Arabidopsis thaliana: one gene and its partners. The protein of the gene in region 2 binds, or shares a complex with, the protein of the main gene of each other region. Each region holds a gene or a part of one and is shown on either strand. Other genes may lie near its edges.

Evidence for each region. Proteins that work in one complex are often made in the same cells at the same time.
Region 1: CDC48 (region 2) and GRF7 share a complex: the UniProt entries of both Arabidopsis thaliana proteins name them as parts of the SERK1 signaling complex.
Region 3: CDC48 (region 2) and KAPP share a complex: the UniProt entries of both Arabidopsis thaliana proteins name them as parts of the SERK1 signaling complex.

What each region holds. Positions count from the first base shown.
Region 1 is NC_003074.8:525,787-530,090, reverse strand, and holds GRF7 (general regulatory factor 7), read left to right. Parts: upstream 1-1,702; 5' UTR 1,703-1,833; exon of another isoform or gene 1,834-2,012; intron 2,013-2,147; 5' UTR 2,148-2,175; coding exon 2,176-2,652; intron 2,653-2,756; coding exon 2,757-2,879; intron 2,880-2,980; coding exon 2,981-3,097; intron 3,098-3,210; coding exon 3,211-3,291; 3' UTR 3,292-3,798; downstream 3,799-4,304. Other genes in the region: AT3G02530 (TCP-1/cpn60 chaperonin family protein), read left to right, coding at 118-322, 437-531, 635-703, 788-895, 991-1,109, 1,210-1,285. UniProt on the Arabidopsis thaliana protein: Is associated with a DNA binding complex that binds to the G box, a well-characterized cis-acting DNA regulatory element found in plant genes.
Region 2 is NC_003074.8:3,017,226-3,023,552, reverse strand, and holds CDC48 (cell division cycle 48), read right to left. Parts: upstream 4,305-6,327; 5' UTR 4,060-4,304; coding exon 4,031-4,059; intron 3,882-4,030; coding exon 3,719-3,881; intron 3,430-3,718; coding exon 3,201-3,429; intron 3,075-3,200; coding exon 2,308-3,074; intron 2,224-2,307; coding exon 2,002-2,223; intron 1,913-2,001; coding exon 1,841-1,912; intron 1,758-1,840; coding exon 1,113-1,757; intron 1,024-1,112; coding exon 721-1,023; 3' UTR 501-720; downstream 1-500. Other genes in the region: AT3G09850 (D111/G-patch domain-containing protein), read left to right, coding at 1-156; AT3G09830 (Protein kinase superfamily protein), read right to left, coding at 4,857-5,351, 5,432-5,554, 5,629-5,889, 5,977-6,327. UniProt on the Arabidopsis thaliana protein: Probably functions in cell division and growth processes. Interacts with certain SNAREs as part of specialized membrane fusion events where vesicles from the same organelle fuse (homotypic fusion).
Region 3 is NC_003076.8:6,486,334-6,493,945, reverse strand, and holds KAPP (kinase associated protein phosphatase), read right to left. Parts: upstream 5,628-7,612; 5' UTR 5,497-5,627; coding exon 5,353-5,496; intron 4,209-5,352; coding exon 4,019-4,208; intron 3,844-4,018; coding exon 3,643-3,843; intron 3,538-3,642; coding exon 3,362-3,537; intron 3,277-3,361; coding exon 3,118-3,276; intron 3,029-3,117; coding exon 2,885-3,028; intron 2,798-2,884; coding exon 2,736-2,797; intron 2,277-2,735; coding exon 2,138-2,276; intron 2,028-2,137; coding exon 1,933-2,027; intron 1,812-1,932; coding exon 1,782-1,811; intron 1,450-1,781; coding exon 1,334-1,449; intron 1,247-1,333; coding exon 1,114-1,246; intron 1,029-1,113; coding exon 974-1,028; intron 896-973; coding exon 764-895; 3' UTR 507-763; downstream 1-506. Other genes in the region: AT5G19270 (reverse transcriptase-like protein), read left to right, coding at 6,937-6,991, 7,287-7,612. UniProt on the Arabidopsis thaliana protein: Dephosphorylates the Ser/Thr receptor-like kinase RLK5. May function as a signaling component in a pathway involving RLK5. Binds and dephosphorylates CLAVATA1 (CLV1). Functions as a negative regulator of the CLV1 signaling in plant development.

The DNA.
Region 1 (4,304 bases), 2.5 Mb from region 2:
GCCTGGATCTTCCACCAAGCTTGTTTTTTTTTGTCTTGTGCTCTGTTTCTTGTGTCTACAAGTTGTTACAAGAGAATTATCTTTCTGTTCCTTATATATGTATATATGTATCTCCAGATAATCGCCCTTAGAAGGGCAAAGAGGAGGAACATGGAACGTTTGGTTTTGGCATGTGGTGGAGAAGCTGTGAACTCTGTCGATGACTTGACCCCTGATTGTCTTGGTTGGGCTGGACTTGTATATGAGCACGTTCTTGGAGAGGAGAAGTACACATTTGTTGAGCAAGTGAAGAATCCTCATTCATGTACTATCCTCATAAAAGGTACAAATGCCCAAACTTCTATCTCTTGCCAGCTAAGTTTTGAAGATCAATTTTGCTTATCTTCATATGTGTGGTCATTGATTATCTATGATTATGATTTGGTTTTCTTTATAGGGCCTAATGACCACACTATTGCTCAAATTAAGGACGCTGTCCGTGATGGTTTAAGATCAGTTAAGAATACCCTAGAAGATGAGTGTGTCGTATTAGTAAGTACCTTCTTCTCCACAAAGATCAAATCCATTGCTATATCAGTGTGATTGTTTTGGTTTTGGGCGCATGTGGTTTATTGACATCTGTTTCTTTCTGTAGGGAGCTGGAGCTTTTGAAGTTGCAGCAAGACAACACTTAATCAATGAAGTCAAGAAAACCGTTCAAGGGGTGAGTAGAAAGCAATATTCCTTTGCTCCAATACCAATTCTTGTTTTTTTCCGGTTGCTAATGTAAATTGTGGGCAAATTGCAGCGCGCTCAACTCGGTGTTGAAGCTTTTGCTAATGCCCTTCTCGTAGTGCCTAAGACGCTTGCTGAAAATGCTGGGCTTGACACTCAAGACGTTATCATTTCTCTAACGGTATTATTCTTGTATTTTCCTCTTCTGCCACTATCGATTATGCTCCAAGTAAAATTATGTTTGTGTTTATCTACTGAGTTTCGATGTATATACAGAGTGAGCATGACAAAGGAAACATCGTGGGACTAGACCTACAGGATGGAGAACCCGTCGACCCTCAGCTTGCCGGCATTTTCGACAATTACTCGGTGAAACGCCAACTTATCAATTCAGGGTATGTGCAGAACCAAATGGAAATTTGTATAATGGAGTCTTTTAATTCAGTTGCGGTTGAGTTCAGGTTGTTAAAACGGTTGTTTGGTATTGTATTGCAGGCCGGTGATTGCTTCGCAGTTGCTATTAGTGGATGAAGTGATTCGTGCAGGAAGAAATATGAGGAAGCCTACTTAAAACAAGACTATCTTTTGTTTTCAATTTTTTCTTACTTTCCCTTTCGTGTTTTGAGTATTAGCATATGAATACTATTTATTTTTTACTCGTTATCCTTTGTTGTCTTAGATAATTTTGAATGTATCTTTTTTTTCTATCTTTTGTATCAAACAAACATGATGAATGTTTTGATTGTGGTTTCTAGCGAAAACAGAACAAGATAAAGATTTCAGAATTTTAAGAAAATGGAACCAGATTTATGTGTAAACAAACGCAATTAAAAGTCAAATCAACAACAATGCACGGCATACTTTAATTGATTTTTATTTTTCTAGTAACGGAGTCAAGGCCCAATTAAATTATTTATTTTCCACGATCATTAAAGTCTTTAACGGGTCAACACCGTTAGACACTTGTCATACTATTACTGGGCCTTATTTTTCTCTTTACTTTCTCTGAAAATCAAAGCCCATCTCTTCTTCCTTTTTTTTCCCCTAATTTCTCACTTCCCCCTCATTTCGCGTCTCGACCTTCGAATTCGACAAATCCCTAATTCCAAAATCCTCTCGGTAAGCTACGGATCTAGTCTCTCTTTTGCTCATAGTTCGACGAAATCGTCTCTCTGTTGCTCGTTCATGTTTTCGTTTCGTTTTGTGGACTTAATCTTCTCTGTGTTCGTTGTTATCTGGAGATCTGGCAAAATCTCGAATGATTTTGATAGATTCTAGGTTTCTAGGTGTATCTATCGGTATAGTGTTCGTTTTGTCTTGATTTGTTGGTCTCGACGATTTATCTGTTGTTTCTTTTGTTTTGTTGGGAATAATGTTGATATAGCCAAGCTACTGTGATGTTGATGAAGTTTGAAATGAATTTTTGAAAACAGGATCTAAAAGAGTGTGTGATAACATAAGATGTCGTCTTCTCGGGAAGAGAATGTGTACTTAGCCAAGTTAGCTGAGCAAGCTGAACGTTATGAGGAAATGGTTGAGTTCATGGAGAAAGTTGCAAAGACTGTTGACACCGATGAGCTTACTGTCGAAGAGAGAAACCTCTTGTCTGTTGCTTACAAGAACGTCATTGGTGCTAGGAGAGCTTCCTGGAGGATCATATCTTCCATTGAACAGAAGGAAGAAAGCAGAGGAAACGATGATCATGTTTCCATTATCAAGGACTACAGAGGAAAGATCGAAACTGAACTCAGCAAAATCTGTGATGGAATACTCAATCTTCTGGATTCTCACCTTGTTCCCACTGCATCTTTGGCCGAGTCCAAAGTCTTTTACCTCAAAATGAAAGGAGATTACCACAGGTACCTTGCTGAGTTTAAGACTGGAGCTGAGAGGAAAGAAGCTGCTGAGAGCACTCTGGTTGCTTACAAGTCAGCTCAGGTAAACTCTTTAAGTTTCAACATCTATCTATCTTATTTTGCTGCTTGAGACCAGTAAAGGAGCTGTCATGATGAATGCTTATGTGTGTTTTTCTTCTAATGTAGGATATTGCACTTGCTGATTTAGCTCCTACTCATCCGATTAGACTGGGACTTGCTCTTAACTTCTCTGTCTTCTACTACGAGATTCTCAACTCACCTGATCGTGCCTGCAGTCTCGCAAAACAGGTTTGTATTTTGTCATACGGGATGTTATGATGCTTCCAGACTTTGTAACACTTATTCCAGCACCAAATTGCTTAATGATATTCTCTCAATTGTTTTGACAGGCTTTTGATGAGGCCATTTCTGAGCTGGATACATTAGGAGAAGAATCATACAAAGACAGTACGTTGATAATGCAACTTCTCCGTGACAATCTGACCCTTTGGAACTCTGACATCAATGTACACCTTTGTCTTCCTCCTTTTGCTTTTCCCTATAAACTCTTATATATGCAGTCTAAGCTTCTTTTACTCAGAAATTTCTCTCAAACGCTGATTGTGTTGCTGATTTTTAGGATGAGGCGGGCGGTGATGAGATCAAGGAGGCGTCAAAACATGAGCCGGAAGAGGGGAAACCAGCTGAGACAGGGCAGTGACCAGAGAGAGAGGGAGAGACATTTCTAAGTATGTATGGTATGGATTTTCCAAAAACATATGATATGATTAGGGGATTTGTAGAAGCAGAGAGAAAGATCTTTATTTGATTTTCTCCAAAAATCTCTGTTCCCTTTTTTTTTTATTGGGTTATTAAAGCTGTTTGAGTCTTTGGTTCCTGCTTCGTTGCTTGTTAGTATTTAGGAAGTGAAGAAACAAAACTTTGAATTATTGCTTTCCATTCAACTCGTCATAAATTATCATAATCAGTGTATTATTTACTTAGTTCTTATTAGGGTATTCTGATTTTTGCTTAACGCAACAGAATTTGTGTTAACCCATTTTTAAAGAATCTTCAATCTTGTATCATTGGTCGGGTCAGTCGGATATATGGTCCGCTTTTGGTTTAAGACCGGAACAACGAAAGCCGGGGATATTGAGCCTTTCTGATGATGCGCCTCCGGGCGGTAATGCTATTGGGACATGGATTACATTCTGATCAATAGGGACTAATAGTATGGATTTACTTTGTACTTCAGACTAGGGTTTTTTTTTTTTTTTTTTTTTTTTTTTTTTTAAATATTATTAATCCTCATCCCAAATGACCTTGGGCCGCAACAAAAACAACATCAAATCCAGTTACAAAATTAGCAAATCGGAAAACATGTCGGCAAAGAAGGAAGATCGCCGCTTGTTGATGGAAGCTAGCAGAGAGACCGGAGCATTAGATCCGGCGGGCTCAAGCCCTACAGTTTCGAGGCCGCAACCGATGCTCGAGAAACTCCGACGAAAGAGACCGGTTTTCGTCCTCGAATCAACCCCACCGGCGCACCAACCCACCACAAGACTCCCAGAAAGCTAGTCTCCCCAACAAGCACATCGACGGCACCGGATTCTGAAGAAGCAATCCGATACACTGGACGGTAACCCTTCCTTCCCAAACCGGTACAGATCCGAAATCCCAGAGCTATTGCGTTTCAACCGGCTCGATGGATGCAAAATTGTGACAAATCTA
Region 2 (6,327 bases):
GCCTTTGAGCAGCACACAACAGGCTTTGGGTCGAGGATGATGGCGAGAATGGGTTTCGTCGAAGGCTCGGGTCTGGGTAGAGAGTCACAAGGCATAGTCAATCCGCTGGTCGCTGTCAGACGTCCTAGAGCACGTGGAATAGGTGCTGAAGGCTAAACATTGAAGTATTTAACGGTCAATGTTTGAACAAGAACAGTAAGATATCGTTTTTAAGTATGTTCATCTTCAATCTTCAACATGTGGCCTTTGTTCAATTTATGTTTAAGACTTGGGAGCAGCTTTGTTGTTATCTTGACATCAATGTTGTTGACATAATAAAGCATCCTTTCTTTTGGCTTCTTTAACCACCATTGATGCAAAAAAAAATACATCCTCGGCTCCAAGATTCTATAAAAGAAAGTACCGATCTTAGAGCATTAACATTGATATGCGGAAATTGCTGATAAGTGGGAACATTTGTGATACTTACCACTTATAAAGCAATTACTTATCACTTGCAATCTTTTTAACTTACTTTATAATCCTTTATTTTTTCCATTTGTAATGAACGACCAAACAAGTATTGAAACGAAAATTAAGAACATTGATTAAAACCCAAACACAAGAGATTCGGATAACTTAAAAACACGAGGAAAGAATCAGTATCACTTTCCCCAGTAATCCAAAAGTAGAGAATTCGAGTTTTAAAACTTAAAAAAAAAAAGGATAAAGAAGTTATCACTAATTGTAGAGATCATCATCGTCCCCAGCAGCGGCTGCAGACGTGGCAAACGGATCTGCGACTCCAGTGGTGGCACCTGAACCAGCAGAATTCTCGAACCTGAACTCAGAACCGAACCCTCTAGACTGCTGCAACGTCTGAGCAAAGGCTTGGTACTTCCTGATGTCTGCATCACTCACACTCCTACGCGCATACTTCATCGACTCCTCAAAGTGTGCAGCTTTGATCTCTGATACTTCATCCACTCCATCTTCCTCCATTGCCTCTGGGTTCTCGCTCCTCCTCTTCTCCTTTTCAATGTCCTGAAACAAAAAAAAAACATGAGCTTCAGTTCAACGATTGGAGAGTATAACAATCTTTGGATAAAGAGCTTGGCGATGGGATCTCTAACCTTCTCAATGTTTTCTCTGATGGCGTACTTGCAAGCTCTCTGGCAAATCTCAGTGATATCAGCACCACTGAAACCCTGAGTGTATTTAGCAAGTGCACCGATGTCTACATCTTTAGCAATAGGAGATTTCCTCAAGGCGGCCTTGAAGATATTGAGACGGGAATCCTCATCTGGTAGTGGAATGTAAATGAGCTGGTCAAGCCTTCCAGGACGGAGAAGAGCTGAATCGATAATGTCAGGTCTGTTGGTAGCTCCGATGATGAAGACGGTTTTCTTGGCATTCATTCCGTCCATCTCAGTCAAAAGCTGGTTCAAGACTCTGTCCGCAGCACCACCTCCATCGCCACCACTTCCACCTCCTCTCTGAGTTGCAATGGAGTCGAGCTCATCAAAGAAAAGAACACATGGAGCGGATTGACGGGCCTTGTCGAAGATTTCACGAACATTTGCTTCACTCTCTCCAAACCACATTGTCAGAAGCTCGGGACCCTTGACACTGATGAAATTAGCTTGGCACTCGTTGGCAATAGCTTTGGCCAAAAGGGTTTTCCCACATCCAGGAGGACCGTAGAAAAGGACTCCCTTTGATGGAGACATCCCGAATTTCTCAAACTTCTCTGGGTGCTCGACTGGGTATTGAACAGTCTGCATTTGAACAATCACACGGCTCAGGTTACAAATTACAATTAATAGACAGACCCAAGCAAAAGTAAATATTAGCAATTTACCTCCTGGAGCTCTCTCTTGACATTCTCAAGACCTCCAATATCATTCCAAGAGACGTTGGGAACCTCCACAACCTGCAAAGCAAAGAAGAAAATTTGGAATGAGATTTACGCAAAGATACAATCTTTGATCTCGTTCTAAGCAGAGTACTGTCAATACTCACAGTTTCACGAAGTGCAGATGGGTTGCTGTTCCCGAGAGCAGTGTGGAAATGTTCATTAGTGACTGCCATGGAATTGAGGATTTCAGCGTCTATGGAGTCATCTTCCAGATCAATCACATCCATCTTCTCCCTGATGCATTGCAGGGCGGCCTCTGTGCACAAAGCTGCAAGATCAGCACCGACGTAACCGTGTGTGTCCTTTGAGATCCTTTCGAGATCCACCTGGAAAACAACCACAAGAAGAATTTAGCATTCAATAAACATTACACTCAACAAACACAGAAAAAGCTATGACTAGAAAATTACATCTTCAGCCAGCTTCATGTTCTTTGTATGGATCCTCAGAACTTCAAGACGTCCAATTTCGTCAGGAACTCCAATATCGATCTCCCTGTCAAATCTTCCAAACCTTCTCAAAGCTGGGTCGATACTGTTGGGGCGATTGGTTGCTCCCATGACGATAACATGAGCACGAGATTTCAGTCCATCCATTAGCGTAAGGAGCTGAGAGACAATCCTCCTCTCAACCTCTCCATTAGTCTTCTCTCTTTTCGGTGCAATAGAGTCGATCTCATCAATGAATATGATTGAAGGCGCATTTTTCTCAGCCTCCTCGAATGCTTTCCTGAGGTTGCTCTCACTCTCACCAGCCAATTTGGACATGATCTCAGGTCCGTTGATACAGAAGAAAAAGGCACCCGTTTCATTAGCCACAGCACGAGCGATCAAAGTCTTTCCAGACCCAGGTGGTCCATAAAGAAGAATTCCCTTCGGTGGCTTAACACCAATCGACTTGAATAGCTGTGGATGCCTCAAGGGAAGTTCAACAAGTTCCCTAATCTGAGCCATCTGTTTCCTGACACCACCAACATCATCATAACCTACATCATCTAGCCTTTCTTCATCCTCTCTCTTCACAGGCTCACCCTCACAGAAAATCTCTGTGTCTGGAGCAACCACGCAGTACTCAGCAGGATCTGTCTCTATAACTTTGAACTCCACACTCCTCATTCCTCCTCTGACTAGGAAGAGATCACCCTTCCTCACTGGACGGTATGCCTCAAGGAAATAAGCTGTTGAAAAGAATTCAATCTTTGTTAAGAAATCACTCTAATAATATCTCAAACCAAACAAGAACATCCAAAGAAAAATCAAAATTGCATAACTGGATAAGGATCTAAAACAAAAAGGCAACTTACGTTTCAGGTAAGCATCAAATAGGTTTCCAGTCACTCCTTCAACAGTATCATCAACAGGCAGGATGTGAACACGCTTTCCGTACTTGACGTCTGGGCATTGGTGAACAGATATAACATCTCCCAGTCTAACCCTCAAGTTAGATCTGACTACTTTATTCATTCTGATCTTTGGCTCCTCACATGTCTCATCAGCAAGAGCAATGCAGACAGTGTCCTTCCTCTTCTTACCCTGAAAGCCAAAATCCAAACCAAATAAGAACTCATAAAGACTACTAATACGAATCATTCACCAAGACAGGATCAGTACAAAAGCAAGTCTTTTTATTTTGTATAATACCTAAGATCATAAATCACTTGTTTCAAAAGACCACAAACCCTAGTTTATGTAGAACCACATAAGAATCCATTAATCAAGCAAGGAGAAAAAACCCTAAATTATGTCTCTTCATAGAGACAGAAACCAACCATTCAATATCTCAATCAAAAGAGAATCCAAACAAACAAAAGCAAACCCAAACCTTGATGAGAATGGTATCACCACGGAAGAGCTGAAGCTTCTCCATGGTTGCAGGGTGAAGAGAGACGACGGAGTTATCATCGTTGATAGCCTCATCGACGACGAGACGGTTCGGAGACTTCTTCCTCTCGAGAATAGCAGTACTGAAATCTTTCTTCGATTTCCTGTAACAACAACAAAGAAGATTAAGATTCAACTATAGAAACACAAGATCAACCAAAACCCTAATCCCCAAAATCGAAAAACCCAGACTTTAAGAAGATCCGAAAAAAATCCCGATCGGAAAACCAAAATCAGAGATCTGGGTACTTACGAGTCTGAAGATTCAGCTGGGGTAGACATGATTGAGTTTGAGATTAACGAAAGAGTTCCCTGAGAAATCGAAGAAAGTTGAGAGCTTTTTCTTCTTCTTTGGTTTCTTCTCTGAGAGAGAGAGAGAGATGGATTTGTGATAATGGGATCTGAAAGAGCACAGATTTTCTCTAATTATATCTCTCTACGTTTCTTGTTGGAAAAGAGAGCTCTTTTTTTTTCCTTTATTCTTATTTTCCTTTTTGTTTCTTATCTTCTAGTAATATCAAACCGACCCCTATTGTTTTACTTTTCCCAAATATTCACCCTATTTATGTTATGTGATTAGAATTCTAGAAACTTCTTTTTCGTTCAATTTTTTCCTCCATTCCACAAGCAATATCAATTTCCTACCTATCGACTAATATTCTTTTTCCAACTACTTCTCCCAAATTTCAGTAGTCCTCCAGACCTTAAAGCCCATAATTATTTTCATTTTATTTATGTTTGTGATTTACTTATGGTAATTAATAGGAACTCTTAACACATTACCACAAATATACACTTAAGCACGAGTAGATTGATCAGCTTTGGAACAAAACTCTGATAAGCCGTTCTTGCTTAATATACATATCTTACTAATTTAGCTGTGGTTACTATTCATAAGTTCATACAAAAATCATATTTCATCATTTTAGAATCTTTCACAAATCTTCATATATAATTATCTTTATGTATGTATATGAGCTTCATCTTGATCTCGCTAGAATCTTCAACCTTCGGAATCTCCATGAAACCTTTCTTGACTCTTTTTTTTGCTGTAAGAAGAGGTTGAATTCTATAAGCAGTCAACAAGCTCTTATTGTCTTTGGATTCCATAACTTGCCAAACCAACCTCCTTCACCGCCACCACCATTGTTCTTTCCTCTCGCGTCTCTCGAAGCTTTTACACTGTTCAGCGGAACTAGCTGTGGGCTGCCATTTCCTGAAGAAGCTTCCACAATTTTGTTCACCATCTCTAAAACCTCACTCATCTTGGGACGTGCCTTTGAGTTCCTAACCAAACATCTGTTGGCCACAACTGCTAGCTTTTGAACCGATTTGATCGGGTACTTCCCTTCCAGCCTTGGATCTAATATGAGCTTGAACTTCCTTGTGTCAGATAAATAAGGTCTCACCCATTCTAGAAGCTTCTGCTCTCCCTTGGGTCTGTTTCTGTCCACCGGTCGCCTCCCAGTGATAAGCTCATAGAGGAAGACTCCATAACCCCACACATCGCTTTTCGATGTGAGACGGCCGGTTTGAATGTATTCAGGTGCTGCATAACCCATTGTACCTACAACCTAATAAAGCCAAAGAAACCCGTTCAAAAACATACCTGTTTTTCAATCTTGCAACCAAAAGAAGTGAATGCAGAACTTACATCAGTAGAAACATGGGTTAATCCTTCAGATGGACCTAAACGAGCCAAACCGAAATCTGAGAGCTTTGCTTTCCAGTCCTCATCCAAAAGAATGTTCGAGGACTTGAAATCGCGGAATATTATCTGAAAAGCCAATAAATAAAAGTTAGTCAAGAGAGTGAAATGAGATCAGTAACGTAGCAGAGTCATCATATTACCTGAAACTCCATTTCTTCATGCAGGTATGTTAATCCGCGAGCTGCATCTTGGGCGATTCTCAGTCTGAGGTCCCAAGTAAGAACTGTGAGTGACCGAGGGGATAAGTGGAATTCAACACTTCGGTTAGGCATGTATTCATAAACCAAAAGCCGTTGGATTCCACGTTCATCATCTTCTGCACAATAGCCAAGCAATTTCACCAAGTTTGTATGCTCAACTATTCCGAGGAAGTTCACTTCCGTAACCCATTCCTTATGCCCCTGCAACATCCAAGAAATGAGATAATAGTGTTAAACCAGTGGATGAGTAACAGATCTTGAGAACAAGATTGGAAAAAACAGACATACCTGCAACCCTCTTTTACCGAGCTGCTTCACTGCGACTTCGATTTTAACTGACGAGTCCTCTAAGTTCCTCACTGTGCCCCTGAAGACACAACCGAAACCGCCTTCTCCAATCATAACAGATCGGCTAAAGTTCTTTGTTGCAGACTTGAGATCAGTAATGCTGAACTCTCTGAGATTACTTGCTCTAGTAGACACCGGAGGGTACGAGTTCTTCCTCCCCATGGATGATTCTGTGCTCGTCCCAGAGACATCACGAGAGTTGAACTCTGACCCGCTTCGGTTTATTTCGCGGTCAGAGAAGATAGAGGTCAATGAAACCGAAATAGGGGTCTTCTGTTCCCCTCTCTTATC
Region 3 (7,612 bases), on a different chromosome or scaffold from region 2:
GATTTTTGGGCCCGCTTTGTTTTCAATTTCAAATCTTTTTGGGGTTCTGTTTTTCTTAATTTGTTTTAGTACGATGCAAAAGGTTGAACAACAACTCCAATTTTTAAAACGGAAGTTAAACTAAAATTTATTGAGTCAAAACTCAGATTAGGTAGTAAGATTACTTGAGGAAAGAATCCCAAAATCTCTTGAAATTCTTGACTGTTGACTATTTTGGTTCATTCCATATATATCAGTCAAAATTGTATACGTGTTCATTCCGAAAATAGGCAGATTTTTATTACAAAATCTGTGATTTTCTTTCTACTTCTAACCGAACAACAGTCAAAATAGTATTATTTTGGTGCCTGCGTACACATCGTAAAAAGAACAAAACTGAAATAGCTGGAACAAAACTGAACCGAAACTCTAGAATAACCGTATTGATACTAAAATCAAAAACCAAAATCGAAATCCAAAAGTACCAATGAATACTCAGAATTACGGACTCCATAGTCCATACTAAACTGATAAGTTGTATTGTCTGATGAAATTCATTCTCACCAAAGAATAAAATACGAAACAGAAACTTTAACTGATAATATTATTAATTATATAAGTAAAGATAATGAAACCAATGTCGCTCACCAAGACGATCCATCCTAAATCTCTGCATCTGAGGTTTTTTTGTCTCTCTTATACCCTAACAAAAATACTAATACATAAAAAGATGGTACACAAAAGAAAGACACTTCCCAAATATCTTAAAAGATGTTTCCTAACATTACAGGGAAGTATCGAAATCTAAGTAAATAATGGAGGTGTTGTCCTTTGTACGCATCGCTCTAGCTTCATTCAGCAGACCGTTTGCTATCTTCTCCGCACTACTCTCTCTCCCTCTCTCTTTATCTCTCATCTGCCATAACATAAACATTACATGAGATCGACGTTTTCAGACATAGCAAATGTCTCAACGAGTAGAAATTGATTTTACCTGAAGTACAAGCTGCACAGCTTTCTTCGGACTTACCACGTCCCATAACCCGTCACTGCAGTATTCGGATTTCAAAAATTAGCGAGCAAGAATCAGAAAACGGGAAAAAGCTTATTATGTTTATGTTTATGTTTTTTTACCTAGCCAATACAGCAAATACGTCTTTACTAGATTGATCGATACGCAAAGGCTCACTTATATATGGCTCTGCACTGAAACGGCTGTCTTGTTGCTTTGGAAACTTGTCTCCAAGCATCCTCGCAAGGTTTATACCTGAAGAAAATTATCACATCAGATTTGGTCATTTTGTTACAAAGAAGTTGCAATCACCTGAGCGTGTTTAATTCATTGAGCTAATACCAAAAAGCCGAGTCTCTCCATCTCTCAAGGCTAGTCCTGCTTCTTGGAATCGTTTTCTCTCGCTCAAGCTAACCACTCGATGATCTTCAGTCATTTGTATATATCTGCCACCAAGACTGCCAAATGCAAACCAAATCGTAATCAGTTAAGAAAGTCGAAGTTACTATTATAATGCCGAGACCATTAATTCCTAAGAGCAAAACAACTATCAGAATTTTTTATTATTAATTAAGATCCGTATCAAGGAAGATGTAGGGATAAACTCTCTTTCTATTTCCACAAAGCAAAGCAACGACATTCAAATATTCTTTTTCTTATCCAAAAAAATTCTACTCCGACGTGAAACAATCTCATCTATTGATGTCTATTTACTCTACTATAAAGCCTATATTAGTAATCATCTACTGTTTCCAAACCAAGAGGTTTTCATTAAGAAGACCACACTCACTCACGCTTTAAACACGCAAGATCTTTGTTTCTAATCTGAGTAATCAAGTCCCCTCCCTCTTTCTACACCAAGAAATGCTGCTACAAGTCTGGTTAATGCAAGCTCAGCAACTACGAATCTCAAGAATAGCAATATAATATTTTTTACGTACTGGATAACACATGCTGAATCCCCAAGATTGGCACATTGTGCGAAGAAGTTTTCTTCATTGTCTTTCCAAACCAAGAGAACAGTAGCTGTACAACCCTGCATCGATCAACTAATTCATTAAGTAGGAAGCAATGAAAAAGTTCCAGCCAAGTCGTCAAGAAGGCAAACATGCCATCAAAGGAAAAGAAAAGGACAAACTGAAATACCTCATATTGGTGTTCTTCGAGGCGAGCTTCTGTTTTAGCAAACATGTCCCTAAGGACGTCCGAAGCATCCCTTTTTGATAACACTTTCTCCTTCCTCAGCGAGTCTGATAAAATATTCGCTAGAACCTCCGGAATAATTCTGGAGAAGAAGTTTAATTAGCTTATATATTCAAGTATATAATTGCCGTTGTTGGAGACACAAGTAAATCAAAGATGCTCCAGTAGTTAGTGAAGGCTCCTAACATATAATGACTAAGCCCATTTACAAAAATGAACAGAACAAAGTTTCATATATTTGTTCCCGGCTGTAACCACGCCTGCCCTAACTGTAACACATTTGCATGGCTAATCACATGCAGCTAAAAATTTTAAACTACATAAGAAGTTGATTAATAAATGAAGCAAAAACAATAAAGAAAAACTCAGAAAGGCGGATGCTGTTAGAAGTTTAAACACAGCCAAAACCGCAGCCTTTTTCAGGTTAGGACATTTCGTAGGTTAAGCATACAAAGAAAACCCAAAATAAGACCTATCGAGGAGGATTTTATAAAAGAAATAGTTAATAGAGGTGATTTGGATTTTTTTAAGAAAGACTCACTTGATTGCGGATTGAGCAGCCCCTGATCCCCCATGTCCATCACAAACACAAAACAGTCCAAACTGAAACCATATACATTTGGAATTATGTTATCAAAAGCAGCGAAGCCCATCATCATACATACAACTCAAATCACTAATCAAGGTAACCTTATTAGCCCCAGGAAGCGGCCACTTGTAATGACAAACATCTTCCATCGGAAGTTTCCTGCCTCCTCGACGCATAGCCATGGGATCTGAGGCCACACCAATTTTGAAGGGTATCTGAAACTCATTCTGAGAGGAGATACGGACCTTCCAAAGATGAAAAGAAATTGCATGAAATTAACAAGGGAAACAAAAAAAATTACCAGCAAGCACCTTCACCACTCAGATTGACTTACATAGACCTTTGTTGTTGTTCCCAAAGTTATTATATCATCACTTGCAAGCTCGACAGGGTTACCCCACTTCCGGCTGCCTAAATCAGGATGACTTATTGAATGAGAGTTTACGAGAGTTCCATTTAGGCTACCCATATCTACCAGCTCCCATTTAAATTTCTGAAATCAAAACCAGGCAGGTGTGACGCACAGTGTAAGAAGTGGCATGCAGAAGTCGTATAAATAAATCTACATAGCTCCTTACAGTAGAGTTCCATGTTATCTGTGCATGTTTCCCAGAGACTTCTGAGTCCTTCAATGCCAAATCAGAAGGAGAAACCCTTCCAAGTTTCACTGGCAGCTTGGAGGAACTTGTGGAGTTCACAGCATGTTGAAGCCCAATGGCAGGACCCGCGATGACTTCCAGGAACAGCCAACTTCCTGCACTTCTAACACAAAATATGATATATGTCTTGCACAAGTAATTCAAAAAATGGATTGAAGTTGTATTACACACCCTAGGCAAGCAAAAGAATAAGAAATTACTTTGATCTTCCACGAGCCTCGGAGAAAGATTAATAAGTCGATCCTTTTCCAGATTATATTGCAAGTTTTCATTTCTGTTATTCTGCCAGTCATATGTTTGCACTTCTGCCAAGGAACCTTTTTCAGCTGGAAGTTTAAGCGTTTGGCCCACCAAAGCATTGTCAGAAGGTTCAGAAATTACTTCTAGAACAAAGCTTTCACCTACATAAGTTAGGGCAGATTGGTAAGGTCAAGAATGAGTGATGCATAGAGTTCATAATGCAAAGAGGATGTTTCTGATACAACTGTATCATTTCCATCACGCTAATGATCTAGAGTCAATCCAACTTGTCTACCAGAGCTGGACATAGCAGGGGAGGAAAGAGGCAATGAGTACCTTGGGAGAAATGGGGAGATGACGAAGGAAGCCTTTGTTTGTAAAACCGTCCCTCAGTCAGAGATGAATGCAAAAGTCCATCATTTTGGTAGCAAGCTCCCTCTAAATCATATTCCCTTGTTACCTCACTGGTTTGTCCTTGGATCAAATTTCCATCATCAGAAATAAGTGGTCTCTGCAAATCCCCCACCTGCAAACAATGGCGCTGAAAGAATTAGGGCTAGGAGCAAAAAAAAAGTTGCGTAAACTGGATACTCAATAGCTGAAAGATGAGAAACTCAATATTTCCCTATATGAAGAATGTAGTAATAATAAGGTGGATTTAGTTCTTATACAATTTTAGTATGTTATCCAAGTTATGGAGAAATTGCAAACAAATGAAATCTACAAGCGAAAAGACTAGATGGATGAGCTGTATCCTATTTCCAGTGAGAGTAAAACCGCCTATTAGATTAGTAAGGAGTAGAGTATAACAGAGCTAGGAAATGAATGAACAGCTGATTTCACCTTTTTCATTCATTTGTTACCATTTCTCCGGTAGAAAGACAAAAATACAAAAAAAACAAAACTCACAGAATTCCTACAAAAAGGTAACTAATGAGGAAGAAGTTCTCCCACGATAATTTCCCACACTGAAACTGAGTTCTTGGCAACATTCACATTGCCTAATATATAAGCACCAATGTCCAAATTCAGAAACAAATCGACAGTTTTCGCAAGCAAATTCACAAGAGTTCCCTACTTCCAATGTCTGTCTAAGTGCACATCAACAGTTTGAGCCGTTGAAAATGTCAATTAGCCATGGCTAGAGAAGAAGAAGAAAACATAGCACACAAAAGAAGCTGAAACGGCCATTACGCTTTATTCAAACAAAACCATTTTGTGCAAATCGAGCAGGCAGAGAAAATCCAGCCACACTCATTATAAACCAAACGAATCTATCAACTCTTGAGCTTCAAAAGAATCTAACAACAACAAAAGAATCCTAATTTTTCAACAGTGAGAAAACTCAACAACACATTATCATCTCCAAAAAGTCAATCAGATTATTTCAGAAACCAAACACACAATATATATCTCACCGCCCCCACGTCGACAAAATCAATCAACGAAATCGCCAAATAACCCCAACTACTATCGGAATCCACGAGAAAAGCATCATGATCCAGCGACGTAACACTTGTCACTGATGATCAAATCCTTTATCAATTGATCATTTCGCGAAAACAAACCATCCGACATAAAATCGAATCAAAAATCAAAAAACGAAGCCGTGGAACGAAGACTCTGAAAATTGAATAGAGAATGAGATAAGAGGAAGAGGAAGAAGAAACCTTGAAGGTAGAAGAAAAACGAGAGGAGGATCGGAAACGAGAAAAATATCGCCATGGCTTGCAGGCGAAAAGGATGATGAGGGAGATGAGAAGCAACATAAGAACCATGAATAGCCCAATAATGTTCATCCCTATCATCGCCATCGTCTTCGCTTCTCTCTCTCTCTCTCTCTCTCTGCACCCCTCCTCCTTCCAGATTGGTTCCCGAGAACCTCGCTTTGAATTTTTCTTACCTTCTCTGTTTTTTTTTTTTCTTTCTCTTATCGTATTTTCACTGTCTTTTTATTTTCACTGGTCGATAGACTCTAAGAGTACATTATCCCTAACGCTTTACATGATTGGCTAGGGTTGGATTAAGCTATATAATTATCACCTCCACGAGTTACTATTGGTTAATATGTGGATTACGCTATAGATTATGAGATTTTTTTTGTTTTTTACACTTGATTTATGGTTTTAATTTTTTGAAAAAAAACAAATTAAATAGATTAGAATTATCAAGAATCTTGTAAAGAAAAAGGTTATGTTTTTGAAGACTTAAGTGATATGTAGATATGATTCTAGAAATCTCATTGTTAATGAAAAGTTTTTCGATCGAGATGACTTATTTATGTTTAGATGTATTTCGAGTAACATCTAGAAAAATTGGTATAATATAGAGGTACAAAAATAACGATGGTAACGTTTTGGCATTGTTAATCTTACCGCCTTATGTATTTGGTAACAAAAAATATCCGATTATTTTTTATCATTGCAATATATGATTGCTAATCAAAAGCAGGAATTGGATAAGAGAAATAACAGTATACTTCTTACCATTGCGATATATGATTATTAATCAAAAGCTTACTGCTTTTTGTAGGGTAACAGAAATAACGGAATAGTACTTCTTACCGTTGTGATAAATGATTACTAATCAAAATAAATTAGTTAGCACAAAAAATAACAAAATGTAATCCCTAATGCAGTAAAATTTAAACATGAATGTATAATGCATTCTAATATACCAATCGTAAATATCAGTCTTGTGCTCTTCTCTTTTATGCAACAGACAAGCACACACACGCACACAAGTCATTTTCCTAAAATCTTGTAAAACATAGTAATCAAAAATGTCTATGTGAGTATAAAACATGTTACAGTTACCTTTATTCTTGAATCAGAGAGAACTTCCATTTTCTTTTGTTTTATCAACAAATGCAACTACTCCATTTTTAAAGTCCCATATGAATTTATAATACCAATATGCATACAATTATGCATACACGAGATGGAAATTACATAAATGATACTTACTAATCAACTTTCAATATATTATCCATTTGGTAACGTTTTTATTTTTTATTGACTATGCTTTAAATGTGGTAAACATATACGAATATATAATTTGGTAACATAATAATAGTCTTCATTCACTACCTTCTCAATTTTGTGTATTTAAGAACTCTCAATTTGTTTTTTGTTTTTTATGGTTGTTCAAAGACAACAATTGGTAAAGCATATATATAAGAAAATTTGTTGTTAGAATCTTTCAGTTGGTTAACAAAACGGCCGGTCAGACCTTTAAACAAGGTTCAAGAGACGATGCTATTGTCTACTTCTCAAGTCATGATTGCTCATCACAGAGGACACATAAATCGTAACTGAACCTTCTCTCTTTGATATATCAATTTAAATCTATATGGTTCTTGTCAATTTTGTGTTTAACACTCTTGTGAGTTTTTAACTTTTGTATGGCTAATGAGTTTTGTAATCTTTTTAATTTGATGTCGTTGTCCTTTTATCATAAACTATACAATTAGCCTAATGTCTAACGTTTGTTTTTAAAAAGACGATAGCTAGAATTTTGCAATTTTTCTTGTAACTTGTATCTAACTAATAATTCAGAAATTTTATCTTTAATTTGTTTAATAAAAATGATAAATTGCTTGCAGGTAGACATGTGGATTTGAGTGTACAAGGATCCATAGGGGTTGAAGAAGAGGAACGGTGGCTTAATGCGCGACAGATAGATACATATGGCGCATGCTTTGTTCGGGGGACGAGCTTGGATCTTAACTGGACTCCTCCAGACTTTGGAATTGTTAAGTGTAATGTGAATGCTCATTGGGGAAATGCTGACATGATGAGTGGGGTAGCTTGGATTGCTCGTGATGTTAATGGTTTGGCTCTATACCATGCAAGAGATGCTTTTACAAGGTCTTCAAATAGGATCATGGCCGAGTTGCGTTGTATCTTGTGGGTGGTTAAAAGCTTACGA